Ovis aries: one gene and its partners. The protein of the gene in region 1 purifies or fractionates together with the protein of each later gene. This does not show direct contact. Links are inferred from orthologs where the notes say so. Each region holds a gene or a part of one and is shown in the gene's direction. Other genes may lie near its edges.

Region 1 (4,272 bases):
GCAAGCTCAGATAGATCAGCAAATTCAAACACGCTTAGATGACTTACAAGCCGCCCTTATGTATGCGGGGGATGATCTGCATGCTTTACAGGTACAATTGAATTGCGGTGTCACTGGAATTTCACTACTTTCTGTTTGCCCAATATGCCCTACAATGCCACTGAATATCCTTGGGAACAAATAAAGTTACATCTTTTAGGTTCAAAATCAAACAGTCTAGATATAGAAAAATTGAAGCAACAAATCACATCTACCTTCAGCAGCATTCCCCCTGTGTTATAGAACACTGACTTCTATAATGCACTATCCACTAGTACCTCCTTTCTAAATCCAAAAAATTGGGTACCCCATACGATGGCTACTTATGCGCTGATCTGTTTATTGTTTGTTATTGTTCTTGTAGGATTCCGAACGTTATGTGCCCGAGTCACCTCCGTCCAAAAAACAGGAGTAACTGTGGCTGCAGCAGTCCTTGCTCTTAAGGAAAAAGGGAGGAGATAAGGAGGAGCTGGAAGGCTTTGAGCAGACATGGAAAATGTATTTGCTCCACTTATGACGAAGGTTGGGAGCTGGAACGAGCATAACGGAGGGTTATGAGCGTGCATCGAGTGCCTGAGGCTGGAAACGGATGACGAAGGGTCAGTACGCCCGGCCTTGAAGCGTTCAAAGGCTTCCTTATGACCACCTGTTTCCTGGGAGCAAGGACTGTTGTTTCACGATAAGACTCCCTTTAGAGTTTTGCCAAAGTCACGTTATGTCTTAGGTGGTGGGAACTGTATTTTATGCTTGAATGCTTTAATGTTTATCTGGAATGGCTACGTGCAAGTCTGCCTTATGCTCTATTCCCTGAGAATTATAAAACTGCGCAGCTGGATAATCAACTTTGTCAGTCCACTAGAGGCTGTCCCTGAATGTTCCTTTCAGAGCGCGGTTCTCCGAGCCTTACAAGAAGCAACAGTAAACACAGTTTTCTTTGTAGAAATTGCTCATGGTTTCGAATAAGTGGATGCCTCATTTTTCATAAATTCTAAATGAAAAGCCAACAGTTACTCAATATTTGCATTTTAGTCACAGTGTAAACAATTATTAATCTAATCAACAAGTATTTATTGAAGCATCCTATGTCCTATGAAATTTAGATCATTCCATTCTCCCAGAATCCTATGAAATACTATTATGCCCAATTTCCAGACAGGGAAAAGTTCTGACAAAAAATTTACACAACTGGTGAATATTAAAACGGGACTTCCACTCTAGACTTCAAACCCACAGCTCTAAACCATCAAATCTGGAATAAACGCTTGCTGATTCTGTTAGTTAAAGCAGTAGACCCCCAGAAGCCTCGCGATATTACTGGAACTACTGATCCCAACATGCACAGCGGCTCCTGTGAGGCGGCCTAAGCCGCAGAGTCCGCGGGGTCCCGGCATGCCTCGAGGCGCGAAAGGCAACCTGGGAGCTGTAGTTCTCCTAGGCACCTACCGGTATTGCCAGCGCGGCGGTGGCGGACCGCTTGGTTCCAGTTTGTAGGTCCTGTGAGGGCGAGCTGAGGCGGAGAAAGGGCGTGGAACTGGAACCGGGTGAGTCAGGCACTGTCTACGCGATAAAGGGAGGCGGCACCGCGGAGCGGGGCTGACTTAAGTCAGCGCGGCAGTCTTTTCAGGGACACAGCGGTCTCGGCGTCAGCGAAAAGAGAGCGAGGAGGCGCCAGAGCCCGGTTCTCGTCCTTCTCTCCCCGCCGCCCTCTTCACCATGCAGTCCCGGGAAGAAGCTCCGCGCTCTCGCCGCCTCGCCAGTCCCCGCGGCGGGAGGCGTCCCAAGAGGATTTCCAAGCCCTCAGTTTCGGCTTTTTTCACGGGCCCGGAGGAGCTGAAGGACACGGGCCATTCTGCAGCCCTGCTGGCCCAGCTCAAGTCTTTCTACGACGCGCGGCTGCTCTGTGATGTGACCATCGAGGTGGTCACCCCCGGCAGCGGGCCTGGCACGGGCCGCCTTTTTTCCTGCAACCGTAACGTGCTGGCGGCCGCGTGTCCCTACTTCAAGAGCATGTTCACCGGCGGCATGTACGAGAGCCATCAGACGAACGTGACCATGCACGACGTGGACGCCGAGTCCTTCGAGGTGCTGGTCGATTACTGCTACACCGGTCGCGTGTCATTAAGTGAGGCCAACGTGCAGCGCCTTTACGCGGCCTCCGACATGCTGCAGCTGGAGTACGTGCGGGAAGCCTGTGCCTCCTTCCTAGCCCGCCGCCTTGACCTGGCCAACTGCACGGCCATCCTCAAGTTCGCCGACGCCTTCGACCATCACAAGCTGCGATCACAGGCCCAGTCCTTTATAGCCCACAACTTCAAGCAGCTCAGCCGAATGGGTTCGATTCGGGAAGAGTCGCTGGCAGATCTGACCCTGGCCCAGCTGCTAGCTGTCCTGCGCCTGGACAGTCTAGACATCGAGAGTGAGCGGACCGTGTGTCACGTGGCGGTGCAGTGGTTGGAGGCGGCTCCCAAGGAGCGGGGTCCCAGCGCTGCAGAAGTCTTCAAGTGTGTCCGCTGGACCCACTTCACTGACGAAGATCGGGGCTACGTGGAAGAGCTGCTGACCAAGCCCATTGTAAAGAAGTACTGTCTGGACCTTGTTGAAGGGGCCCTGCAGATGCGATATGGTGACATGTTGTGCAAGTCCCTGGTGCCCAAGCCAGAGAGCAGCAGCAGTAGCTCTGTTGTGTCCATAGCAGAAAATCCACCCCAGAGGCTGGGTATGTGTGCCAAGGAGATGGTCATCTTCTTTGGCCATCCCAGAGATCCCTTTCTGTGCTATGATCCATACTCGGGGGACATTTACACAATGCCATCACCTTTGACCAGTTTGGCTCACACTAAGACTGTCACCTCTTCAGCTGTCTGTGTCTCTCCAGACCATGACATCTATCTAGCTGCCCAGCCCAGGAAGGATCTCTGGGTGTATAAACCAGCCCAGAATAGTTGGCAGCAACTTGCCGACCGCCTGCTCTGCCGGGAGGGCATGGACGTGGCATACCTCAATGGCTACATCTACATCCTGGGTGGGCGTGACCCCATTACTGGAGTGAAGTTAAAGGAAGTGGAGTGCTACAGTGTTCAGAGGAACCAGTGGGCCTTAGTGGCTCCTGTACCACATTCCTTCTATTCCTTTGAACTCATAGTGGTTCAGAACTATCTTTATGCTGTGAATAGTAAGCGCATGCTCTGCTATGATCCTAGCCATAATATGTGGCTGAACTGTGCTTCTCTTAAACGGAGTGACTTTCAGGAAGCCTGTGTCTTCAATGATGAGATCTACTGCATCTGTGACATCCCAGTCATGAAGGTGTATAACCCAGCCCGGGGAGAATGGAGGCGTATTAGCAATATTCCCCTGGACTCGGAGACCCACAACTACCAGATTGTCAATCATGGCCAAAAGTTGCTCCTCATCACTTCTACAACCCCTCAGTGGAAAAAAAACCGGGTAACTGTGTATGAATATGATACAAGGGAAGACCAGTGGATTAATATAGGGACCATGTTAGGTCTTCTGCAGTTTGACTCTGGCTTTATTTGTCTCTGTGCTCGGGTTTATCCTTCCTGCCTTGAACCTGGTCAGAGTTTCATCACTGAGGAAGATGATGCACGGAGTGAGTCTAGTACTGAATGGGACTTAGATGGGTTCAGTGAACTGGACTCTGAGTCAGGAAGTTCAAGTTCTTTTTCTGATGATGAAGTCTGGGTACAGGTAGCCCCTCAGCGAAATGCACAGGATCAGCAGGGTTCTTTGTAAATATTTTGAAATACTAAGATGTTTCTATTGCTATGAATATATCTTAAAAAGATGTCCTTTCCTTTTTCTGGGGAAAAAAGAAAACTTTGATTAGGATTGCATATTTGGTTTAGAAAGGGTAATGTTTGAGTTGCTAATGTAATGTTATAAAATGTAAACAGTCCATGAAATCAGCTATATAATTTACTGTGCTGAAAGTTGAGATTAAAATATGCCTCCCCCCCCCCAAAAAATGAACCATGTAATTGATTAGAATGCTTGCTGGTTTTTTTTCTGTGTTCAAGAATTTGTTGCACTAGTGAATTGTTTTCATTAATTACACGGTTTATATTTTGATTATCTAATTTAGTCTTCTGTTCATTTTTAAATTCTGTTTAGTGTTGTGGGGGGGAAGTTAGCTTTTTCATTTTTGTGTAGAAAATTGGACTAGAAATTGTTGGCAGGGTTTTGAAGATTTCTATCTTCTGAATAATGAAA
Region 2 (3,500 bases), on another chromosome or scaffold:
AATGCACCGTAAACGTTGTCTGGCTGGAGGTCTTGAAATCTGTTTTGCTGTGCTGCAAACGTAGAGGTGTGTGTGTTTCACTAGAAGCCTGTAGCCAAGAGCCACATTCGCCGACTGGATGCTCTGACGGGGTGACAGGTTATGGAGCCCTGCAGTGATGTGTGGTGTACATCACAGACTGTGGGATAAACCTCTGTGCGTCCGTAGAGGTACAGGGCTGAACAGCCAAGCAGACTAGGGGCAGGGGTAGTGTTTGTGTGACCGGCTTCATCCCCTGTGTCAATAAGAGGAAGACTTCCGATACAGTGCGGACATCCACCATAACAAATGCTAGCGCCAGCTAAATTCAACTGTGTGTATAATGTCCTCTGAATTCCCAGCTGTCTCAAGAAGGACTAATGTGAAAGATGTTATATGCTCTTACATTTTATAGATCATGAACAGATGGGGGGAAAGTGTGCCAATTGGTAAAGAAATTCATATGCAGAATAACACACCTCAAAATGGTGTTTCGAAGGTTTTTCTTTTTTAAAATTATTAAATTTATCTTGGATAAAATTTAATTACTCCTTGGGGGTTTCCTGTAATATTATATGCGTAATTCATTTGAGTTTATGCCCTCTACAGATATGAATGTTTGGAAGTACAGGTAACCTTGTAATGAATAAAACTGATAAAAGGTTGTGTTCCAATAAAAGGGAAATTATGGAATGATTATTCACTTTGTGAAAGGCTCTGTCATAGGGCACACTTTCCTAAAGCATTTTAAATTGGATTACATTTAGGAAACATTCGTTTATACACAACATTTCAGGAACAAATGTAGTGAGGAAATGAGAGAACTACTCATAATAAGATAGAGATCCCTTCCGCTGCTGACGTTTGTGCTTCCTGTCTTCTCTGCCTCCCCTCGCAGCTCTGATAGCCATCGGGCGATACAGCATGACAATAGAGACTGTGGACGTCGGCTGGTGCAAAGAGATCACGGACCAAGGGGCCACCCTGATTGCACAGAGCAGCAAGTCTTTAAGATACTTGGGGCTGATGAGATGTGATAAAGTGAGTTGCCTGTCGACCTTCTTTCCTACGTATCCGTGTCGTTTACAGCTTGATATTAGATTTTTCTTCACTACCTGGGTATATATATGTACACATGCACGTACTTATGTTATTACAGGTATGCATGGGAAGCTGCCTGGTTTTCTAAACTAATCTGAGATGATTTTTGAATATCTCTGTTTAAAAATGAATGTTTGTGCTTATGCAGAAAGAAAACAGCAGTCACACACACACTTAACTTAGATTTTGGCTTCCTGTCCGCAAGTCCACGGACCACGATTAAGTGTGTTTGCGTGGCACACTGCAGTGCGTGTGGCTTAACAGTGAAATTCCACTCAGGTTCCAAGTTTCCTGCAGCAGTAAGTTGGAAGGCCCGCTGCCAGATGATGCTGCCGCAGTCTGAAGTGCTCACTGCTCAGCGTCTTTGTGTTCTGCCCCTCAGGGGGGCAAGAAAGGGCCAGTGAGGCAACATTAGTTGGGAATCCCCACACTGCAGATGCTGCTTTTCACACATGTCGAGAAGCGGTCCCAGAGGCCCCACCGATGGTCAGTGGAGCTGGCCAGAGGCATGAGCCTGAGTTTGAGAAGTCGGGCTGCGTTTAATAAAGATGATCAGAAGCTGCACTGATAACCAGGCATTGGAGACGCACTTTCCCCTTTGTCTCTTTTACGTTTTCCTGGTAACAAATCTAGGAGATGGTCTGTGCTGCGAAGGGGAGAAAACGGAGCTCAGAAGGACCAGACACTGGCCCCATGCCCCCCATCCAGGGTGGCACCCCAGATCTTCAAGCCTATGGCCAGTGCCCAGGGCCCACCGCAGGGACTGTCTCCAGAGAAGGGGGTGCTTCCTTGGAAAAGACCCACCTCAGCTACTCGCTCTGAAAATGTTGGCAGCTTGTAACAATTTATACACGTGTGCTGCTTTTTGTGATTGGTGATTAGGCACAATGTAGCAAAAGAGCCTGAAGCTAAATATATATGCCTCTCAAAGGACATGCAGTTTCTAAATGTAGCAAATTGGGGACAAATAAGAATGGCCCAAATTCTCTGTGCGCTTTGTCAGTTTTGTTAATTGACCTAGTTCTTTTTTCCAGATGTTTTACAATCCCAGCTTATACCAGACCTTTCCAGTTAGTCATGATTAGAGAGACTTTATATACTCAGCCCAGCCTAGAAAGCTGACTGAGTTTATTACTGAGCAACAGCGGAGAGCCCGGGGTGGCAAGTCTCTCTTAAATTTCACCACTAACTAACTTAACACTGCTACTAACCCTGTCACTTCGAAATGATTCCTTTTAAAACAAGTGAGAGTCCATAGCAGGCAGAGTGTTCTAGAAACCCCGAACAGTGACAGCAGAACTCTTCGGCTTCTGCCCGAAGGAATCGCTGCGCACAAACTGCCTGCGCAAGGGCAGGAAGAGGTGAGCATTCACAGCCGGGCCCCTGCGCCCACAGCCATTCACAGCCGGGTCCCTGCGCCCACAGACATTCCCAGCCGGGCCCCTGCACCCACAGACATTCCCAGCCGGGCCCCTGCGCCCACAGCCATTCACAGCCGGGTCCCTGCGCCCACAGCCATTCACAGCCGGGCCCCTGCGCCCACAGCCATTCCCAGCCGGGCCCCTGCGCCCACAGCCATTCACAGCCGGGCCCCTGCGCCCACAGCCATTCCCAGCCGGGCCCCTGCGCCCACAGCCATTCACAGCCGGGTCCCTGCGCCCACAGCCATTCACAGCCGGGTCCCTGCGCCCACAGCCATTCCCAGCCGGGCCCCTGCGCCCACAGCCATTCCCAGCCGGGCCCCTGCGCCCACAGCCATTCACAGCCGGGTCCCTGCGCCCACAGCCATTCACAGCCGGGTCCCTGCACCCACAGACATTCCCAGCCGGGCCCCTGCGCCCACAGCCATTCCCAGCCGGGCCCCTGCGCCCACAGCCATTCCCAGCCGGGCCCCTGCGCCCACAGCCATTCACAGCCGGGTCCCTGCGCCCACAGCCATTCACAGCCGGGTCCCTGCGCCCACAGCCATTCCCAGCCGGGCCCCTGCGCCCACAGCCATTCACAGCCGGGTCCCTGCGCCCACAGCCATTCCCAGCCGGGCCCCTGCGCCCACAGCCATTCCCAGCCGGGCCCCTGCGCCCACAGCCATTCACAGCCGGGCCCCTGCGCCCACAGCCATTCACAGCCGGGTCCCTGCGCCCACAGCCATTCCCAGCCGGGCCCCTGCGCCCACAGCCATTCACAGCCGGGCCCCTGCGCCCACAGCCATTCACAGCCGGGTCCCTGCGCCCACAGCCATTCACAGCTGGGTCCCTGCGCCCACAGCCTCTGGCGGAGGCCACCGTGTTTCTAGTCCAGACTCTAGACCTGTTGAGATCAGCACCCTCTTTGGAGCTGAATTTGGTACTCCAGTTAGTTAAGAAGATCCTTTCAGATGTATT
Region 3 (3,500 bases), on another chromosome or scaffold:
GAGGTACAGAGAAGTTGACTGATTTGCTAAAGGTCATACAACTGATGAGCAGGTGGGCTGGATTTGAGGTCCAGGTAGTCTGGCTCTAGAATCTGAGTTCTCCTGCCTCATAGGGTTGTAGTAAGAATTAAATCAAATGATGCATATTAAAAACCAAGTATAGTCCCTGCAATATAACACTCATACATAGTATCTGTTACTATTGATGTTATTGCCATCAAAGGTGTGTTTCAGGAAGATCGTTTTAGTCACAGTGAGGAGGGCATAGATTGGAGCAGGGTTAGAGGCCGATTTGGAGGCCCTGGCTTTAGGCAAATCCATGGAGTAAGACCATGTTGTTTTTTAAGTTGCCTGAGGACACCCTGAGAGTAGGGGGAAAGCAGATCTCTATATTTGAATCTTTTCCTTCTTGTCTTGATGGATTCCCTGTAAATCAAGGGGATCTTAACCTCTGGAAAGTTCAAAAATGTATTCACAGAGTCCAGGAACCTCCTGAAATTGAAAAGTTGTTTTACTTTCTTTTTAAAATTTTAATTGCAGGATATTTGCTTTACAGTGTTGTGTTGGTTGCTGCCATACAACAATGTGAATCAGCCATAAGAATACTGTGCCTTTTTTTTGAAAAGAGATATTGTAACTTTTAACTGATTCTCAAAACTATGAACTGCCCCCCGCAAAAAAAAAGGTTGAGTAATGCTTCTTAAAGAAAGGAACTTAAAAAAAATAAATTAATAAAAGGAAGGAACTTGGTAAGAATGGGTTTTTGTGAGCCAGTACAGCTATGATAGCAATTGTTTATTTTTCTCTGATTTGTCTTTCTCCTTTGTCAGCTACAAGGCACACAGTTTCACAGACAATTCAAGTGTGAAAGGATGGTAGCTCTTGTAGCTGATCCTCAGTAGTACTATGTCTTGTGTCTTATCCCATCTTTCTCCCACAGCCTTCCTGTCAGGACAGCAAGGACCAAGTTTTCTGTCTCCTTGAGACTGTCCCCAAAGGCTGTCCTTGCTGAGCTGTGTCTCAGGCTGAGTGACTGCCCTGCAGTTGCCCGTATGACAGCTGCGAGTGAGGTGTCCTTCTGTGACTATCATGTTGTTGGCATCCCCCTCTGCCCTAATGATTGCTGCCTCTATCTGTGTGTCATTAGCTCTCACTTGGACTCTCCTAACAGCCTTCTCACTGGTGTCTCTGTTTCTAATTTGTTCTTTCTAGCCTACCTAGCTTTCTAAAACTCTCACTAGCTAATCATGTGATTTTCTTTACAAATTTTTGGTAACTGCCTACAGGTTATAGTCCAAACTTAATATCTGTTACAACCTTGGCCTCTATCTGCTTTGCAACTTCAATCTGGTCCTCTCACTTCATGGCAAGTAGATGGGGAAACAGTGGAAACAGTGATGGACTTTATTTTCTTGGGCTCCAAAATCACCACAGATGGTGATTGCAGCCATGAAGTTAAAAGATGCTTACTCCTTGGAAGGAAAGGTATGACCAACCTAGATAGCATATTCAAAAGCAGAGATATTACTTTCCCAACAAAGGTACGTCTAGTCAAGGCTATGGTTTTTCCAGTGGTCATGTATGAATTTGAGAGTTGGACCATAAAGAAGGCTGAGGGCCAAAGAATTGATGCTTTTGAACTGTGGTGTTGGAGAAGACTCTTGAGAGTCCCTTGGACTGCAAGGAGATCCAACCAGTCCATCCTAAAGGAGATCAGTCCTGGGTGTTCATTGGAAGGACTGATGCTAAAGCTGAAACTCCAGTACTTTGGCCACCTCATGCGAAGAGTTGACTCATTGGAAAAGACTCTGATGCTGGGAGGGATTGGGGGCAGGAGGAAAAGGGGACAGAGAATGAGATGGCTGGATGGCATCACTGACTCGATGGACATGAGTTTGAGTGAACTCCGGGAGTTGGTGATGGACAGGGAGGCCTGGCGTGCTGCGATTCTTGGGGTTGCAAAGAATTGGACACGACTGAGCGACTGAACTGAACTGAACTTCAATCTCATGTACCATCTCATCCTCTGTCGTCCCCTTCTCCTCCTGCCCTCAATCTTTCCCAGCATCAGGGTCTTTTCCAATGAGTCAGTTCTTTGCATCAGGTGGCCAAAATATTGCAGTTTCAGCTTCAACATCAGTCCTTCCAATGAACACCCAGGACTGATCTCCTTTAGGATGGACTGGTTGGAAATCCTTGTATTTCTGACACACCAGATTTCTCACTGTGTCTGAAAGAAGCTATGTGTTTGGTTCTGTGCCTTTGGTGTTTTTGTTTTCTTCTGCTCAGAATGCGCCTCTTCCCCACCCTGCTCCCTTTTTTTAACCTAATGAAAGTCCATTCCTTCCTCCAAACCTAAGTCAGATAATTTTAACTCTGACAGTCACAATGGATGGCATCCTTTTCTGAACCCAGAAAGAACTTGGTATCTCAATATGTAACCTAATAAAACTGAGTTCCTACCACACGCCATTCACTGTTTCAGGTGTTGGAGATGTTATAATGAACAAAGCAAGACAAAGTCTCTACCTTCACTCTAATAGGGAGAGAGAGAAGGAGAAAAATAGACACACACACACACATACCCTTATACTTACAAAGTGAATAATAAATACTTTAAAGATAGATGGGAGTAGGGGGCTGCTATTTTCAGATAGAGTGGTCAGGGCATACCAGTGCCTCTTTGGTGAGGTAACTTTCACGGAGGACCTGAAAGAAGTGAGGAAGCAAATGAGGAAGCAAATATATTTGGAGGAAGTATGCTGCATGCAGAAAGCAGAACAACTACAAAACAGGAGTATGCGTGGCTTAATTAAGGGATAGCAAGATGAGTAGTGCGGCTGGAATCCAGTGAGTTGATTTCTGTTTTAAAAGGCTGCTCTGGCTGCTGTGTGGATGAATGAGTGAGTGAGTGCATAACTGAGGGTGGGTCGGAGAAATGAGTTTTTTTGGACTTGAGACCTTGACTTCCGGTGGGTCTCCTGACTTGGCCTTTCACTTTAAGGTGGTCTCTTCTCTTCTAGGCTTGGCAGCCTGGGTCTCATGGACTACTACCTGATGGATGCCGCGTCCTTGCTGCCTGTCCTGGCCCTTGGCCTACAGCCTGGGGACACTGTGCTTGACCTGTGTGCAGCCCCTGGGGGAAAGACATTAGCGTTGCTTCAGACGGGCTGTTGCCGTAAGTCAGAGGGCTGTGTCTTGAGCAGGGAGGGCTCCCTCCCCCTCCCTCCCCCTCCCTCCCCCTCCCTCCCCCTCCCTCCCCCTCCCTCCCCCTCCCTCCCCCTCCCTCCCCCTCCCTCCCCCAGTCAGGGGCTCACTGAAGATGCTGAGCTCTTTGGTCCAGGTCAGGTAGGGTAGTACTTGCTAAGCTGGTGTGTTTGTTCTGTTCGAAGTGACTTCCTCTCTTTCTCTGTCAGGTGGCCAAGGAAGACTGCAGAGCAAGAGCAAGGTCTTTGAAAGCAGATTAAAGCAAAGCCCTGATTAGTCTACCACATGACACT
Region 4 (4,158 bases), on another chromosome or scaffold:
GTGTGGGGATGATCCCTGGGTGGGGAAGATCGCCTGGAAGAGGGCATGGCAACCCACTCCAGTTTTCTTTCCTGGAAAATCCCATCGACAGAGGAGCCTGGTGGGTTGCAAACAGTCCATGAGGTTGCAAAGAGTCAGATACAACTGATATGATATGATGATGGTATGATATACATATCTTTTGTGAAGGGGCCCAGAGTCAGCAACAGAGGCATCAGTGGTTTCGTGGATAAGGGTCTGAAGCAAAAGGGTTCTGGAGAGGCACTGCACGGTGGCAGGCAGGACAAGGCAACCTGTCTTCACTGGGTGTGGGGGAAATGACCCCAGGTTGCCCGGAAACCAGGGAAGGAGGATGCCCCTCACCACCCCTTTAATAAATTATCCTAGTAGAGATGTTTTGAGCTATAGATTAGGAAAATCACTAGCTGGGACTGGGGGCAAGTACATAGGCATTTACTCGTTAGGTTCTATGACTAGGAGGGATGATGTGAGGGTGGTGCAGGTGAAGCGGGGACTGTTCTAGCAGTGAGTGTACAAAGAGCAAGGAACAGCCATCCAGCATTACCAGATCACACAACTGCCCGGGTTCAGTTCCTGACGGTTGCCTATGCCTTGAGGATACACTAGCTTCCAGGTACACTTTGTTACCTCTACTCCAGCCTCACACTTCAACGTATGGTCAGTTTTTCAGAAACACACCTCAAGTCTGACTCTACAAAGTCGAGGTGGTTTCCAGACAGGACCAACCATTTTTGGCGCCAGCCTGATCTGCATCCATCCCTTCCACAGGGGATACTTTTGAGGCCCAGCGCTAAAGCCATTTCCTCCTCAGGCTCCCTTCCTGGAGCTTGTCTTCAGCTTGCTGGGCTCCTGAAACACCACCTCGCAGCTGTCCCAGTTAGTCCATTCTACCTGGGGTATTGGTTATGTATGTTCCTGCCTACGTTCCCCCGCCAGACTCTCCTCCTTGCGCCCCAGACAGGAGTTCACCAATCTAGATGCCTGGATCCAAGCCCAGGGAGGCTCCCCAAAGGAAGGATCTTGCCAACTACAAGCTAAAACCCGCCCAGACGTTCTCTTCCCAGAGATTCGGCTCTGCAGCTTTCAGGGGCCACAGTGGGCGAGGCCGTTTTCCGGATGGAGAGGAACGAACCTACGGCGCAGCTGTGAGCTCCGGATCCCAGCACTACTACGCCGACGGAGTCTGCGTCGAGGCTCTACGAAGCGACTGCCCACAGCCCAGCTGGAAGCCCCTAGTGGCGGGCCGGAACGGCGCTTCCGCCGGAACCTTTGAGAAGCCGGGCGCTTTTGGGAGAAGCACGCAGAAACCGGAAGTCCGTGGGGGAATACTGGCCCGTAGGAACCTAGAGCTTTAGCGTGGAGGATGAACGTCCCTAGTCTCCTCTTGGCGGGAGGTAGGGTGCCTGAAATACTGGATGAATCTGCCGTATGCTTTTAGTGCCTGGCGTGTTTACCCTCTCAGGTCCCGTGTCCAGGTCTCCCTCTTGGAGACCCTGCCGGGGAGACTGGGCGGTTCTGGTCGCCTCTGAGCTATTGGGATTCCTTTCCCTGGGTTAAGGGTCCACGAGGGACTCCTCGGACTGAGCTGAGGGCAGAGGGCAGAAGGTTCAGTGTCTGACAGCTGCTTGCTTACTTCTGGATGCGTTATTGTCCTGTGGCCGCAATGTAAAACTTTCCCCTGGTTTTACAGAGTTGCTCTTTGTATGGGTTTTCTTCTTTGTAGACTTATGGTAGAAATCGTGAAAAGAGTACAAAAGAAAATAAAAACCGCTCTTAAATTTACCACTCAGCTAAAACATTTCTTGTAAACGGGTAAAATTTAGTTTTGTTTTATCCGCTCTGTGCAGCTTTCGGGATCTTAGTTCCCTGCCTGGCGATTGAATCCCCCGCTCTGGCAGTGACAGCGCCAACCACTCCAGCGTCAGGGAATTCTCTAAAATGTAGTTTTATTTGGTTCCACTGGATGAGAAAGAAACTAGTGAAGATAAATATTGTTTAAAATATCAGTTAATTGCAAAAATATTTCTCTAAGGTTAAAATTTTTAAAAACGTTAAAAAGTTGGAAATAATCGTTTTAAATACATGCTTCTTGTTGGACGTAAGATTTATATGTAGTAAAATTTAAGTTTGTTACCCACAAAAATCAGACTATATCTCTTATGGATAGTTCTTAAATGATGGGAAAGTCCGTATCACTTTGCAATCGCCCTCGTTAGGCCACAACACTAAGAGGAACTAACGTCTAACTTAAATTTTGCTAAAATTTTCTTTTAGGGAGATGGAGATGTTTTCCACTTCCATTAGGGTCCTCCTTATTCCAGGCCCTACATAATTCCTGCTGTCGGAAAGAATCCACTGCACCAGAGAAAATCATTCCCCATGTTGATTTTTCTGATGAGACTGCAAAGGAGTCTGGAAAGACATTTGACAAGCTCTTTTCTTCAGAACAGCAGGCTTCCATCTTGCATGTGTTGAATACAGCATCTAATAAAGAACTTGAAGCTTTCAAATTGCTTCGTGGAAAAAAGTCCCTCAATATTATAGAACACAGAAAAAAGTTTGGACCATTTCAGAATTTGGAGAGTTTAATGAATGTGCCCTTGTTCCACTATAAAATCACCATTCAAGTTTGTAACTCCATTCTTAATCCAGAGACTGGAGGGAAAAAAAAGAAGCTACAGGAAAGTCGGATCTTGAGAAAGCTCATCAAACCAGAAATAGGAAGAGAGAGAGTTAAGGTACACTCTTAATGTCTCTTTTACTGTCTAAATATTTGACACCCTACAAAGTACTATTCTGGGCACCAAGACAGGATTCTTCTGGCAATTATAGTTTAGTCCTGTGGACCCAGGGATACACACATAATCTATTTATAGTTATTCTCAAAGACATGAGATGTACAGATAGTAAATTGGCAATTTAGTGGAGAGAACTGTGTGTTGGGGAATGTTTACTAGAACTCAGCCTGGATCCTGGAGAGAGAGCTAGGCTAGTAGAAGAGGAAGGCATTTTAGGAAGGATAATTGATGTAGAGAGGTAGGTCTGTGCAGGACTTACGTAGAAGGAATGTTGAGTTACCTGTTTTTGTTTCTTCCTTTATTCCACATATCAGTTATACTCCTATTGCTTTTAATCTGTTTGTGCTTCTCACTGTGACTAAGATTCTTTGCGGTGTAACAGGTACCTGATGCAGATCTTTCTCCCTAGTCTAGCCATCGCCCATCCACTTATACACAGCTGTCCGTGTTCCTTATGAAATGTAAATGTTACACCTGAATGTTGTATGCTTTGGTGGCTCCCAGTAGCTCTCAGGATAAAGGAAGTTACTTTCTGCAGAAATCTGCCCACCCCTCTGCCCTTTCGCCACTTGCATTCTTTATGCCACTGTCTTGAGAGGTGTCACCCTATATCTGCAGACATCTGGGTGAAATAACTTCCCATTTACCGTTTTACTGTCTCCTAGTCCTCCAGTAAGTCTTCCTGACCATTTCTCCTCTCTACAGTGTAACTTGTATGGTGGTGTTTCTTATAATGTAGGGTCATGTCCCTTGTTTCCCAGTATCTAGCACATTCCCCAGCAACATCCGAATATCTGAACACCTGCTTTGAGCTAGGTGCTGAGAACAAGTAAAAGTTCTGCCTATAAACTGACTACTGCTGGTTACTTTTTAATAATAACTACTTTAATAATTCTTAGTTCATAAACTGTACATATTATTTCTATCACATAAACTAATTTGGATTTCTGAGTTTGTATCTTAAATCTTGTGTCTGTTAAAATGTTCACACTTATAATTAAACCAGGCTTTTTTGTTTCAGGCAGTTAATAGTATAGTATCCATTGTTTCTGGTACTCGAAGACTTGCCTGGGCTCACCTCGATCGTAAATTGGCAGTGCTGGACTGGCAGCAAACCGAATATTGCCAATTGATGAAAGGATCATACCTATCATCTGTCTATTTAGAAGAGGTAAGGCAGTTGCACCTCCAAATCCTGACCTGCTGGAGCTCCTCATCTTTTAGTCCTAAAAGGGATGAAATAGTTAAGGATGGATTTTCTTTGGGTACTTACTATTCACCTGTTCCTATTGTGTTTTCCATCGCTTATGTTTTTTTAATTAAAATGCTGTGCTGGGTC
Region 5 (3,500 bases), on another chromosome or scaffold:
AATCATTTTTTTAGAAATAAAGGATACAGCCAGATGGAAGAGATGCCTAGGGCAAGGTATGGGGAGAGGGTGGAGAGGTTTCATGCCCTCACTGGGCAGGTCATCCTGCCAGCACCTCAGTGATTTCATCCATCCTGCAGTGTTCTGAATCCCCTAGTTTTGGGAGGCTTTGTCATGAGCATGACTTCCTCCTCTTGGTTACCAGCCCCAGATTGAGGCTGTCCAGAAGCCTACTAGGAGTCATCTCTTTAGAGCAAAGGATTCTCCTATCACCCAGAAAATTCCAAAGGATGTTGGAGCTCTGTGTCAGAAATTAGGGTTAAAGACCAAATATTAGAGCAAAAGATGCTCTTGGTACCCCTTTCACTCCAGAAACTGTAGGGGTTTTAGGATCTCTGTGTCAGGACCTGGGGGTGGCACAGAGACCAGATACATACTTGTTAATTACGTCACACAGTCGCATTTTGTCAGATTTGATTAAAGTCCTCTTATGTCCCATTTCTTTATTTCAGAAATAATTTTATGTATTTATTTTTGGCTGTGCTGGGGCTTTCCTCTTGTGGTAGTGCATGGCTTCGTTGCTGTGAGGGCTTGTCTCTTGCTGCAGTGCACGGCTTCTCATTGAAGTAGCTTCCCTTACGGCAGAGCACAGACTCTAAGGCACATTGACTTGGTGGTTGTGGCTCCCAGGCTCTAGAGCGCAGGCCCAGTACTTGTGGCACGTGAGCTCAGCTGAGCCGTGGCATGTGGGATCTTCCCGGATCAGGGATGGAGCCTGTGTCTCCTGAATTGGGAGATGGATTCTTCACCACTGAGCCACCAGGGAAGCCCCTGTGTCCCATTTCTGATCTCAACTGCATCCCCTACCCCCCACCACAATAAAATTAGTATCATAATTTAAATGCATAAATATTTACCCATGGAAAAAGCAGCATTGCTACATGACTTTTAAATTATTTTAAAATGCTACCATTTTGTAAATGTGATTATGCACCTTGCATTTTTAAGTTTCATTTTCCTTCTCACTTGTTTTTGAGAAACTACTGACATCTGCTAGTGCTTCAAAATTTAACTTTTAAGACATTTTTCATTTGATGTGATGACGTATATGTAGCATAAGGAACAGACTTGAATTTTTTGTGGATTTTGTGATCTTCATATTTAGAGACAAAACCTGTTTGTCTTGGTTGCTAATGATTTTTTTTTTATTTTATAACTAGTGATGTTTTTTAATCCACAGTTCCTCCACCAAAACCAGCCCCAAGAGCTGTTCTTCATCCAAGTCCTGAAGATTTAGCAATATATGGGTAGGCATCTCTTCCTGTTCCCCTTTCTTCCTCCACACAGCTCTGTCACTTAACTTAAATCTGGAAAAATGGTGTTCTTAAACACCATTAAATGGTGATGATTTTGTATATAATCAGCTGCCTTTAACCCATCTCTATTGCTAGTATTTTTAAGAAAGAGAAATCATTCGTAGGAAGAGTAAAATGGGGAAGTAAGTGAGTGTTCACTTTGCCTGCTTGTCTGCTTAGCTGGCTAGTGTTCCGATGTTATTCTGAATAGTTGAGTTTGCCAGATCAAGAATGCCCAGATGGGTGAAGAACTGCTTAACTCTGGTGCCTCTGTAGGGGCTGTAGTGACAGGAGGCCCTGGTGTGTGGAGGGAGGGGGGAAGTGATGCAGGGCTCTGCACTTGACAGAGAACCCCTGGTTCCGTGGTATTCCATGGGTTAGGAACCTGCCCCCCTGGACTTAGGCTGTCTCCATTTGACAGGAGCCCTGTGGGATCAGCAGGATTTTCTTAGGAAGAATCCTGAAGTAGGAATCAGATGGCCTTGAATTTTTACCCCAACCCTGCCCATTATTTGCTTTTTGTCTTAAATGAGTTTACTTAGACATTCTCTCTATTTCTGTTCTTCACTGGTAAAGTGGCCTCCTGATATTCATCTCACAGCCCCAAGGAAGATAAAATTATAGATTATATAAGAAAGAGTTTATAAAGGGTAAATCACTCTATAGATAGAAGAAATTAAATCTCTCACTGCTAATGTTGATTCTCCTTTACCGAAAAAAAATAAGAAAACCTCCCATCTTTCTTTACTGAAACTGAACCCATTGCAGCCCCAACACCAAAATGGTGAGGTTCAAGAAGGGAGACAGTGTGGGCCTCCGGCTGGCTGGTGGCAATGACGTTGGGCTATTTGTGGCCGGCATTCAAGAGGGTACCTCCGCGGAGCAAGAAGGTCTTCAAGAAGGGGACCAGATTCTGAAGGTATGAGATCCCAGCCCTGTTTGTAGGTGTTACTGGGAAAGAGTAGGGTTTCCTGGAGGGTCTTACGTAAAGGATGAAGAAGTGGTCCCGCTGGTGAAAACAGACCAGCTGCAGGCTTGTTGCTGCTGAGCATCAGGTCTCCGTTTCGTTCCAGTGGACCCTGTCTCCTCAGTCCTGGAACCCAAAACCCATCCTTATGGGAACTTACAGCGTTCAGAACCCTCACAAAGATTTTTATTAGTTTGATTCACAGGACAGTTGAGACTTTCACTGAAGGCCTAGGGGGAAGATCTTTCTGGTGGTTTTTGGCCCATTCTCCTGCGTGGTTATCACTCTGCAGGCCATGCGCTGTAACTGAGCAGAGGTGAATGTTGCCATCAGATCGTCTGATTTGAATCCTGTCCCAGCTTCATATTAGTTTGTGGCCTTGGCTCCAGCTCTGAGACTCAGGTTTCTGTATCTGTTCAATGTGGATAAGCATACCTGCCTCGCAGGGATCCTGGGAAAGTTAGAACAGATGATACAAGAATTCAGCAGAGTTCTTAGCACAGAGGAGGAGGGTCAGAGTCCGTTCTTTTTCCCAGTGAAAAATAACAAGTTGCTGCCACTCTGTGTCACTTACGTCTAAAATTGTTCAGGAAGGGGAACACCTGGTTAACCAAATATTGATACTTTTAAAGCTACTGTATATGTGTTTGTATAATCTGTTGGTTTAAAAACAACTGATAAGCAAGTCCTGCTTTGACATTTTATGAAAAACATACCATGTGTTTTCTGTTGACTTGAGTGTTCACTTCAAGCATGCTGAGTACATTGTGACTATAAAAATATATAATGCTCGGGAATTGTCTTCACTGGAATTTCTGCTTCTGTAAACTTGCTTTTCTTATCATGAATTCCTAGGGGATCTGGTAAGAAGAGCATCTAACCTCAAAGGAGATGGGGAGAAAAGCAGAATTCCCAAGGCAGCAGGCAGCAGAGCCCTTCCTGGCCTGTGGCCTCATGGTGGTAGTTCAGATTTCATTTCCAGAGCAGATGAAGGGCAGACCTTGACCACGAGGTTCTCTGAAGCTTTGCAGTGACATTCTAGATCCTCTTTGGCTCTAGCCAGGATCCTGGAAGACAAAGTGTACCTGAGTGAACCTCAGGGTACCACATGAGCCTAGGAAACACTGCTTACCAAGTGCTACCAATAAGAGCCCCATTCGAGTGCCAGCTCATACCAG
Region 6 (4,101 bases), on another chromosome or scaffold:
AGATGGAGACCTGGCCCACGGCCCAGCGGTGGCAGCCCTGGACCCTTTGCTTGCTGGGCCGATGCAGGTCAGGCAATGGCCAGGTTGTCCCTGCCTCTCTCCTTAGCGCAGGGCTGTTCTTGCTCCTGTGTCCACCTCTGAGCCCACCTGGCATGAAATGAACCACGCTTTTACCCAACGGTTCTTGCGTCTGGCTTTTGCTCTTGGCCTTTTCATTATGGGGCCTTCTAGCTACTGGGTTCCAGACCCCCAGATTCCCAGGAAATGTACGGCTCTGACACTGGAGAGCCCCCAGCGAGGCCTGGCCAGCTCTCCTGCTGGGACAGGTGTTCACATTCTGCTCACAAACATTGCTGCTCCGGGACCTGGTGCTCGGCCTGTAACACCACTCCTGCCCGAATGCATGTGTGTGAAGGCCCTGCAGGGGACGTCTGGTCACTGCTGGAGACATGATGGAGGCCCAGGACCTTGCTCCCTGTCCATCCATCCTCATCCCGGTCTGGGGCCCACACTGAATGAGATGCAGGATTCGGGACCAAGGATGCTCCAGGGAAGTCACGGTGTCCGAGAATAGGGACCGAGGCCTGGGTCCCTGTGCTGGCCAGCAGCTCCTGCATAAGTGGGTCTCTGGGTCCAACCTCTGTTTAACATGCGGACTTTGTGATGTTGCTGACCTGTAAAGGCGCAAAGCCCTGACTTCCTAAATTAATTAGGAATCTCTGCCGTCAGTTATTAGGCACCGATCATATACTTTCCAAAACGTATCCCAGTTAACAGACCCAACGACCCTGTGAGCTGAGACTTGGCTTCTCCGCTTTCGGCCAAGCAGACAGACGCTCAGAAAAGCGAAGTCTGACAGAAAGTCAAACTCCAGAGCCAGTACCGAACCCTGGGTCCGCCTGCTGTTGAAGTACAGTTGGCCACAGCTCTTGGCACTACGGTCAGGCGGGTCCGCAGAGAGCCCACTTGACGTCAGGGGCCGGGCGGCCCCCTTTCTCAGCAGAGTGCCCTCTGAACGGGATCACCGGTCCACTGCGGCCCGTGACCAGGGTTTAAAGAGACTACACCCGTCGGGCGCCAGGCTCGGGCTCCCGTATCTGGCCGTCCGTGAACGGCCGCCAGCTGCCTTTCGGCGGGACCCAGGCCCATCTCCGGCGGCCGCATCCCCTGCTCCCCAGTGACCTCGCCCCCGGACTCACCCGTGACCTCGCCCCTGGACTCACCCAGGCCCCAGCCCTGCGCGCGCCTTTCGAACCCACGCGCCGCTTCCGGGGGCGTGGCCTCGGGCCGGAAGTGAGGCCAGCGCTTCCGGTGGCGGCTGGCGGAGCGGTTCCGTGTCCATGGCGGGGTGAGCGGGGAGGCGGCTGAGGTGGGAGGGCGGTGCGCGCGGCGGCTGGCGCTCAGTGGGGATTGCTGGAGCACCTGCTGCATGTGTGCGGGAGGCGGAGTGGCCAGACGGCGGCCCCGGTTTTCGGGTCCGAAAGGGGCTGGTCCTGGCCCGGAAAGGGGGCGGGCGGCCCCCGCGACGTGACGAGCGGAGGCCTGCCGAGAGCGGACCGGCCAAGGCTCCGAGGAGCGGCGGCGGGCGGAGGGCTGCCGAGGCCGGTGGGGAGAGGGGGCGCGCTGCTGCTGGAGGTGCGTGTCGCCCGCGGAGCACCGCAGGCCTGAAGCCTGTGTCTCGCAAGCCAGAGCCCCGTGTGGCCGGCCGCTGGTCGTGGGGGCCCCGGCGGTCAGCTGCCCGCATCGGCTGGACCCGGGCCCGCTGCCCGCTGCAGTCCTCGGCGCCCGGGACCGCTGCGCCCTCTTTCTAGAGACGCCTTTCGCCTTTTGAAGGCAGCAGTTCAAGAGTATTGTCTCCAGATCTTTGTCAACATGTTTTTGCCTGGGAGCCATGGGACTAATAATAGTTTTTTGTTTTCTTTTTGTCAGAAGAAAAGAATGTAGATACTTTGTAGGGTTGTTCTGAGAGTTAAAGAGATAACCCATAGATAACCCATGGCAGTCTATAAAAGCCCCACTTTCCAAAGAGGCTTGAAAACGGCCCTTCTAATTTAATACACGGGGTAAGTTCAATTTTATCAAGAAATGTGACAGGTTGGTCAGAGCCTGTGCTGCCTGCCAAAGCGGTGGAGGTAAGTAAGGCAAAGGACCTGTCCTCGCGTGTGTGTGTGTGTTTAAATTTCTTAGAGCCCAATGAAAATTTGTATCCTGTGAGAAGGAATGTTCCTTTCATGAAGGTTATCAATATTTTCAACCAGTATTGGGAAAACTTTGGTTGACACAAAGCAACTAGCATTACTCTCTGAGATTGTCTTCTGAAGAAAACTTCAGGAGAGAAAAGCATCTCTGACCACAGAGGAGAGGCCTGCTGGATTAGTTTGCTCAGGCTCCTGTAACCAAGCACCCCAGGATGGGCGGCTGAGAGAGCAGACATTTACTGGCTCAGTGTCTGCAGTCTGGAAAATGGAAATCAAGTTGTCAGCAGGATTAGTCTCTGAAGCCTCTCCTTGACTTACAGACGGCCGTCTTCTCCCTGTGTCTTCCCGTGGTCTTTGTCCTGTGTGTGTCTGCGTCTTGATTGCTTCTTATAAGGACACCAGTATTGGATAGAGCCCACCCATTTACCCTTTAAGGTAGTGGTTAAAGAACCTGCCTGCCAGTGCAGGAGACATAAGAAATGAGAGTCCAATCCCTGGGTCGGGAAGATCCCCTGGAGAAGGAAATGGCAACACACTCCAGGACTCCTGCCTGGAGATTCCCATGGACAGAAGAGCCTGACAGGCTACAGTCCACAGGGCTGCAGAGAGTTAGACACGACTAAGGTGTCTTAGCACACACACACAGGACTTTACCTTAATTACCTCATTAAAGACCAGTCACATCTTGAGGTACTGGGGGTTAGGAGTTTACCATGTAGACTTTGGGCTTCCTATGTGGTGCTGGTGGTACAGAGTCCACCTGCCAATGCTGGAGATATGAGACAGGGTTGGATCTCTGGGTTGGGAAGAGCCCCTGGAGAAGGAAATGGCAACCCACTCCAGTGTTCCTGCCTGGAGAATTCCGTGGACAGAGGAGCCTGGCGGGCTGTGGTCCACGGGGTCTCGGAGTCGGATGACTGAGCACACCTGCAGACTCGGGGGATGTGGTTCAGCCCGTAACACCTTTGCGGCGGTAGCCTTGTCAAGTCGCCTCTCCTGCTTGGGCCGTAGTGACCCAGCTCTAAAAATGTGCGGGTTGAGCCTGGGGCCCCACTGGCCTATGTGATGCCAACCTGCTTGCTCCCTTTTCCTCACCAGGTCCTTGAAACTGGTGTGGGCTTCCCTTCAGCGTCAAAGGTTCCCCGCCGCTGGGAGTCGCTACAAGAGCCGGACTGGCGCTGAGCACCTGTGGCTGACGCGGCATTTGAGGGACCCGTTTGTGAAGGCTGCGAAGGTGGAAAGTTACCGATGTCGAAGTGCCTTCAAGCTCCTGGAAATGAATGAGAGGCACCAGATCCTACGGCCCGGCCTCCGGGTGTTAGACTGTGGGGCTGCTCCTGGCGCGTGGAGCCAGGTGGCCGTGCAGAGAGTCAACGCTGCGGGCACAGGTGGGGCCTCCGCATTGTCTCGGGGCCTTCCGACCACTGTGGTTGAGACGCAGGCCGGCCGCCCTCTTCAGGGCACACGGGGCAGCCAGGCTGCTTTGAGAAAGCAGGTGCTTCTGCGTGCTGGTTTAGTAGGAATGACACAAACCAAACACTGGCATGTTCAGAATGAAAGAGGGAGGTAGGAAGGGGGAAGGAAGGTGAAGGTCACCTGCGACCACAGCGCAGAAGCGCGTAGGCAGACGTGGTGGGCGTCCTTGGCCTCTGCTGCTGATGCCTGGCCTCAGCAATGAGCTCAGACGGCCGTCTGTAAGTCAGGTTTCTTTCCTCAGCAGAGAAAGCGCTCTGCGATTTCCTCCCTTGACATCCTCCCTTGGCAGGACAACGGAATCAGCCTGGGGTTTCCTGGAGTTGCTCCTGGGGCTGCCCAGGCAGCCCTCGTGGCTCTGGACGCTCCACTTTGGCCCAACTTGAGAGACTTAGTGCTTATCTCTTATAATATTTGGGGGTTTTAACTA
Region 7 (3,500 bases), on another chromosome or scaffold:
GAACTTTTCATCCCTGCCACCTAGACAGTTCTTACTAATATAAAGAATGGGTTTATATTCTTTCAGGTGTGTGTGTGCGCTTAAAGCAGAAACGAACAAAACAACAAAAAAAGGAAATGGGAATCTCATCCCATATAGGTATAGCTTGGAAACTTGGTTTTTTCACTTAAAGCTGTTCTTGGCTGTCTTTCTCTGTCAGTACTTTCCCATCTCTTGTCATACAGATTTCCCTCATTCCCTTTAATAGCTGTGTCCTGTTCCACTGAATACCATGGTTTGTTTAACAGATGGCCTACTAATGCACATTCGGATTAAGATCTTTCCTTAGTCTAAACTAGGGGTTGGTGGTTTTTGTTAATCGAGTTTTACTGGGACACAGCCACACCCTTTTGTTTACAGATTATCTACCACTGCTTTCTCTCTACTGCAGCTGAGTTTAGTTATGACAGTATGTGCCTTGCGAAGCCAAAAATATTTACATTTAAAGGAAAGTTTGCCAGCCCCACGTCTAAACAATGTTGCAATGAATCTCTCTTTTTTTACATATGTTTTCATTCATATATGCAAGTATTTCTGAGGGATCAATATCTAGTAGAGGAATAGCTGGATCAAAGGTACAGATCTTGCCAAATTATCCTTCTAAGGGGTATTACTGTTTTATATTTCTACCTATAGGATATGAGACTGTTTATTTATTTCCCCACGCACACACTTGACAGCATTGGGCGTTATAATTCTTTTTTAATTGTGCTCATCTAAGAGCATGATGCTTCCCAGGTGGTGCTAGTGGTAAAGAACCCACCTGCCGATGCAGGAGACGTAAGAGATGCAGGTTTGATCCCTGGGTTGGGATGATCCTCTGGAGGAGGGCATGGCAACCCACTCCAGTATTCTTGCTTGGAGAATCCCATGGACAGTGGAGCCTGACAGGCTACAGTCCATAGGGTTGCAAAGAATCAGACATGCATCTAAGAGGAGGGAAATATACTGTTTTTCTATTTGAATTCATATTTCTTTAACTATGGGCTTCCCTGGTGGCTAAGATGGTAAAGAATCTGCCTGCAACGCAGAAGACCTGGGTTTGATCCCTGGAGAAGGACATGGCAATCCACTCCAGTGTTCTTGCCTGGAGAATCCCATGGACAGAGGAGCCTGGCAGGTTACAGTCCGTGGGGTCGCAAAGAGTCAGATACAACTGAGCAACTAATACTTTCACTTTTCTTTAACTATTAATGTGATAGAGTATCTTTGCATATCTTATTTCTATTTTATAAGTTATCTTCTTAGTTTCATTTCTCTAACTGATTCTTTTCCTTATGATTCATAAAAGCTTTTTTTTTTGGCCGTGCTGCACAGCCTGTGGGATCTTAGTTTTCCAACCAGGGATTGAACCAGGGGCGGGCAGTGAAAGCACCACATCCCAACCACTGGACTGCTGGGGAATTCCCATATGAGAGCCAATTTTATACAAGTGTGTGTTATAGTAGAAGCACAGCTCTCCTTTCTGCCTCAGAATATATACTTATAGGTAGAAATATTGTATCTGGCAGCAGTAAGGTATGGATGAAGAGGACCGGAGTGATGCATCCTAATATTTTCTATCTATATCCCTGGTTTGTTCATTTTTCTTTCTCACAGCTAAAGCGATATATTTATTGATGTAACACACATTCAGTTGAGCCTCCAGCATATGCCAGACACATGGGAAATTCATATTGAAAAAATAATTCCTGCCCTCCAGGAGAGGATAGTTCAGTGTGGGGCTCAGACAAGCAGTCAGCAGTAATTGTTCAGAAAGTAGACTGTCACATGGGAGTCATGCCCATGATTGTAGGCCCTTACAGGAGGACACGTTCACCTCTCTGAGGGGCTCAGCGAGCAGTTTGAGAAAATTTAAAGAGCCAGGAGGAATTTTCCAAAGGACGGCATTCAGCAGGAGGAACGGCACATGTCAAGGGGAGTATCCCACCCGTGGAACTCAGCACTCCTGGAGCCTCGGGCTTGGGTCGGCGAGGTGGATGTGGGACCTGGCCAGCCTTTGGATTACCATGTACGTGAGTGAGTGAAGTCGCTCAGTCGTGTCTGACTCTTTGCGACCCCATGGACTGTAGCCTAACCAGTTCCTCTGTCCATGAGATTTTCCAGGCAAGAGTACTGGAGTGGGTTGCCATTTCCTTCTCCAGGAGATCTTCCCAACCCAGGGATTGAACCCAGGTCTCCTGCTTTGTAGGCAGACAGACGCTTTACCATCTGAGCTACCAGGGAAGATCACTTGAGTTTACCCAAGGATATTTTCACTGAATGTTCCCACCCCCTTCTCCCTGTCGGATGTGCATCTGATTCCAGTACTGCCTGAGACACCTTAGTCAAATAACCATCCTTCTTTTGCACCGTGAGATGGTTCAGGTTAACCACCCTGTCCTCACAGCCGTTCTGTGCATTACTGCTGCCATCTGCTCCACTCACAGAGGTTAGACAGCTTGTTCAAAGGCACATAGCAATGAATGCAGAGCACGCATTTTTGTGTGAGCAGGTACATCCCTGTATTTCTTCCAGTCACATTACCAGAATGCTCCTCCGTGCCTGGCACTTGCCCCGAGGAGCTCTCAGGATGGGAGGAGACCAACCTATGAACAGGTACAGGCCAAGGCATATGCCATGGGGCCTGGGCCCTTGGATGGGGCTGGTGTCTCAGCCACGGCTTACGTGGGTACCAGGCACCCCGCCTTCCTCACCCTTGTGCTTACCACTGTCTGCACCCTCTGGCTGGAGAGTGAGGAAGTCAGGAAGCCTTCTCTCCCCAGCAAAGGACTCTGTTGTGCAGGTCTGATGGAATTGGTATATGATCAGCCAGGCTGTCCTGGTTTGTTGGGAGGATGTTTTTTCCCCCATGCCTGGGAGCCTGGCAGCGCCACCTGGAGTGGGCATTCCCTCCCTAACAGCATCTCTGCTGTCCTTACAGGCCTTCCTCGAACGGTACCTCAGCGCCGGCCCCACACTGCAGTACGACCGGGAGCGCTGGCTCTCCACGCAGTGGCGGCTCGTCAGCGACGAGGCTGTGACCAACGGGCTGCGGGATGGACTCGTTTTTGTCCTTAAATGCTTGGACTTCAGCCTCGTTGTCAATGTGAAGAAAATTCCGTTCATCATGCTCTCGGAAGAGTTCATAGACCCCAAATCTCACAAATTTGTCCTTCGCTTGCAGTCTGAGACGTCAGTTTAAAAGTTCTATATTTGTGGTTTTATTAAAAAAAGAAAGAATATATAGAGAGATATATATGTATACCAGAGGGGCATCTTTGTTTTTATTATTCTTCATGGCTGACTGAGCTGGCACATGAGAAACCAGGGTCCTTTGACCATCTGCACTTTATTTGGAAGGAAGCAGAAGATGGCCATCCTGGAAGAAAGTGACTGGTGACATCTGACTTGGGGATGGGCCATCTCCAGAAGCAGTTCCCTGGCGTTTTCTGTGACAGCTGCAAACCAAAGCAGAGCTG

Evidence for each region.
Region 2: the proteins of KBTBD7 (region 1) and FBXL17 purify together in Homo sapiens (co-immunoprecipitation; 3 studies listed by BioGRID and IntAct, counting the BioPlex papers as one, with this or other methods). This does not show direct contact. The link is inferred for Ovis aries from reciprocal best matches to the Homo sapiens genes KBTBD7 and FBXL17.
Region 3: the proteins of KBTBD7 (region 1) and NSUN4 purify together in Homo sapiens (co-immunoprecipitation; 5 studies listed by BioGRID and IntAct, counting the BioPlex papers as one, with this or other methods). This does not show direct contact. The link is inferred for Ovis aries from reciprocal best matches to the Homo sapiens genes KBTBD7 and NSUN4.
Region 4: the proteins of KBTBD7 (region 1) and TEFM purify together in Homo sapiens (co-immunoprecipitation; 5 studies listed by BioGRID and IntAct, counting the BioPlex papers as one, with this or other methods). This does not show direct contact. The link is inferred for Ovis aries from reciprocal best matches to the Homo sapiens genes KBTBD7 and TEFM.
Region 5: the proteins of KBTBD7 (region 1) and TJP2 purify together in Homo sapiens (co-immunoprecipitation; 4 studies listed by BioGRID and IntAct, with this or other methods). This does not show direct contact. The link is inferred for Ovis aries from reciprocal best matches to the Homo sapiens genes KBTBD7 and TJP2.
Region 6: the proteins of KBTBD7 (region 1) and MRM2 purify together in Homo sapiens (co-immunoprecipitation; 3 studies listed by BioGRID and IntAct, counting the BioPlex papers as one, with this or other methods). This does not show direct contact. The link is inferred for Ovis aries from reciprocal best matches to the Homo sapiens genes KBTBD7 and MRM2.
Region 7: the proteins of KBTBD7 (region 1) and VANGL1 purify together in Homo sapiens (co-immunoprecipitation; 4 studies listed by BioGRID and IntAct, with this or other methods). This does not show direct contact. The link is inferred for Ovis aries from reciprocal best matches to the Homo sapiens genes KBTBD7 and VANGL1.

Annotation. Positions count from the first base shown.
Region 1 is NC_056063.1:11,789,708-11,793,979, reverse strand, and holds the start of KBTBD7 (kelch repeat and BTB domain-containing protein 7), read left to right. Parts: upstream 1-1,472; 5' UTR 1,473-1,752; coding exon 1,753-3,795; 3' UTR 3,796-4,272. UniProt on the Homo sapiens protein: As part of the CUL3(KBTBD6/7) E3 ubiquitin ligase complex functions as a substrate adapter for the RAC1 guanine exchange factor (GEF) TIAM1, mediating its 'Lys-48' ubiquitination and proteasomal degradation.
Region 2 is NC_056058.1:104,498,182-104,501,681, reverse strand, and holds part of FBXL17 (F-box/LRR-repeat protein 17), read left to right. Parts: intron 1-916; coding exon 917-1,059; intron 1,060-3,500. UniProt on the Homo sapiens protein: Substrate-recognition component of the SCF(FBXL17) E3 ubiquitin ligase complex, a key component of a quality control pathway required to ensure functional dimerization of BTB domain-containing proteins (dimerization quality control, DQC).
Region 3 is NC_056054.1:20,917,419-20,920,918, forward strand, and holds part of NSUN4 (5-methylcytosine rRNA methyltransferase NSUN4), read left to right. Parts: intron 1-3,023; coding exon 3,024-3,178; intron 3,179-3,500. UniProt on the Homo sapiens protein: Mitochondrial RNA cytosine C(5)-methyltransferase that methylates cytosine to 5-methylcytosine (m5C) in various RNAs, such as rRNAs, mRNAs and some long non-coding RNAs (lncRNAs).
Region 4 is NC_056064.1:17,804,389-17,808,546, forward strand, and holds the start of TEFM (transcription elongation factor, mitochondrial), read left to right. Parts: upstream 1-1,358; 5' UTR 1,359-1,384; coding exon 1,385-1,415; intron 1,416-2,295; coding exon 2,296-2,759; intron 2,760-3,840; coding exon 3,841-3,990; intron 3,991-4,158. UniProt on the Homo sapiens protein: Transcription elongation factor which increases mitochondrial RNA polymerase processivity. Regulates transcription of the mitochondrial genome, including genes important for the oxidative phosphorylation machinery.
Region 5 is NC_056055.1:67,439,196-67,442,695, reverse strand, and holds part of TJP2 (tight junction protein ZO-2), read left to right. Parts: intron 1-1,240; coding exon 1,241-1,307; intron 1,308-2,123; coding exon 2,124-2,274; intron 2,275-3,500. UniProt on the Homo sapiens protein: Plays a role in tight junctions and adherens junctions. Acts as a positive regulator of RANKL-induced osteoclast differentiation, potentially via mediating downstream transcriptional activity.
Region 6 is NC_056077.1:41,355,697-41,359,797, forward strand, and holds the start of MRM2 (rRNA methyltransferase 2, mitochondrial), read left to right. Parts: upstream 1-1,301; 5' UTR 1,302-1,340; coding exon 1,341-1,348; intron 1,349-1,547; exon of another isoform or gene 1,548-2,132; intron 2,133-3,296; coding exon 3,297-3,586; exon of another isoform or gene 3,587-4,101. UniProt on the Homo sapiens protein: S-adenosyl-L-methionine-dependent 2'-O-ribose methyltransferase that catalyzes the formation of 2'-O-methyluridine at position 1369 (Um1369) in the 16S mitochondrial large subunit ribosomal RNA (mtLSU rRNA), a universally conserved modification in the peptidyl transferase domain of the mtLSU rRNA.
Region 7 is NC_056054.1:93,020,666-93,024,165, forward strand, and holds part of VANGL1 (vang-like protein 1), read left to right. Parts: intron 1-2,962; coding exon 2,963-3,223; 3' UTR 3,224-3,500.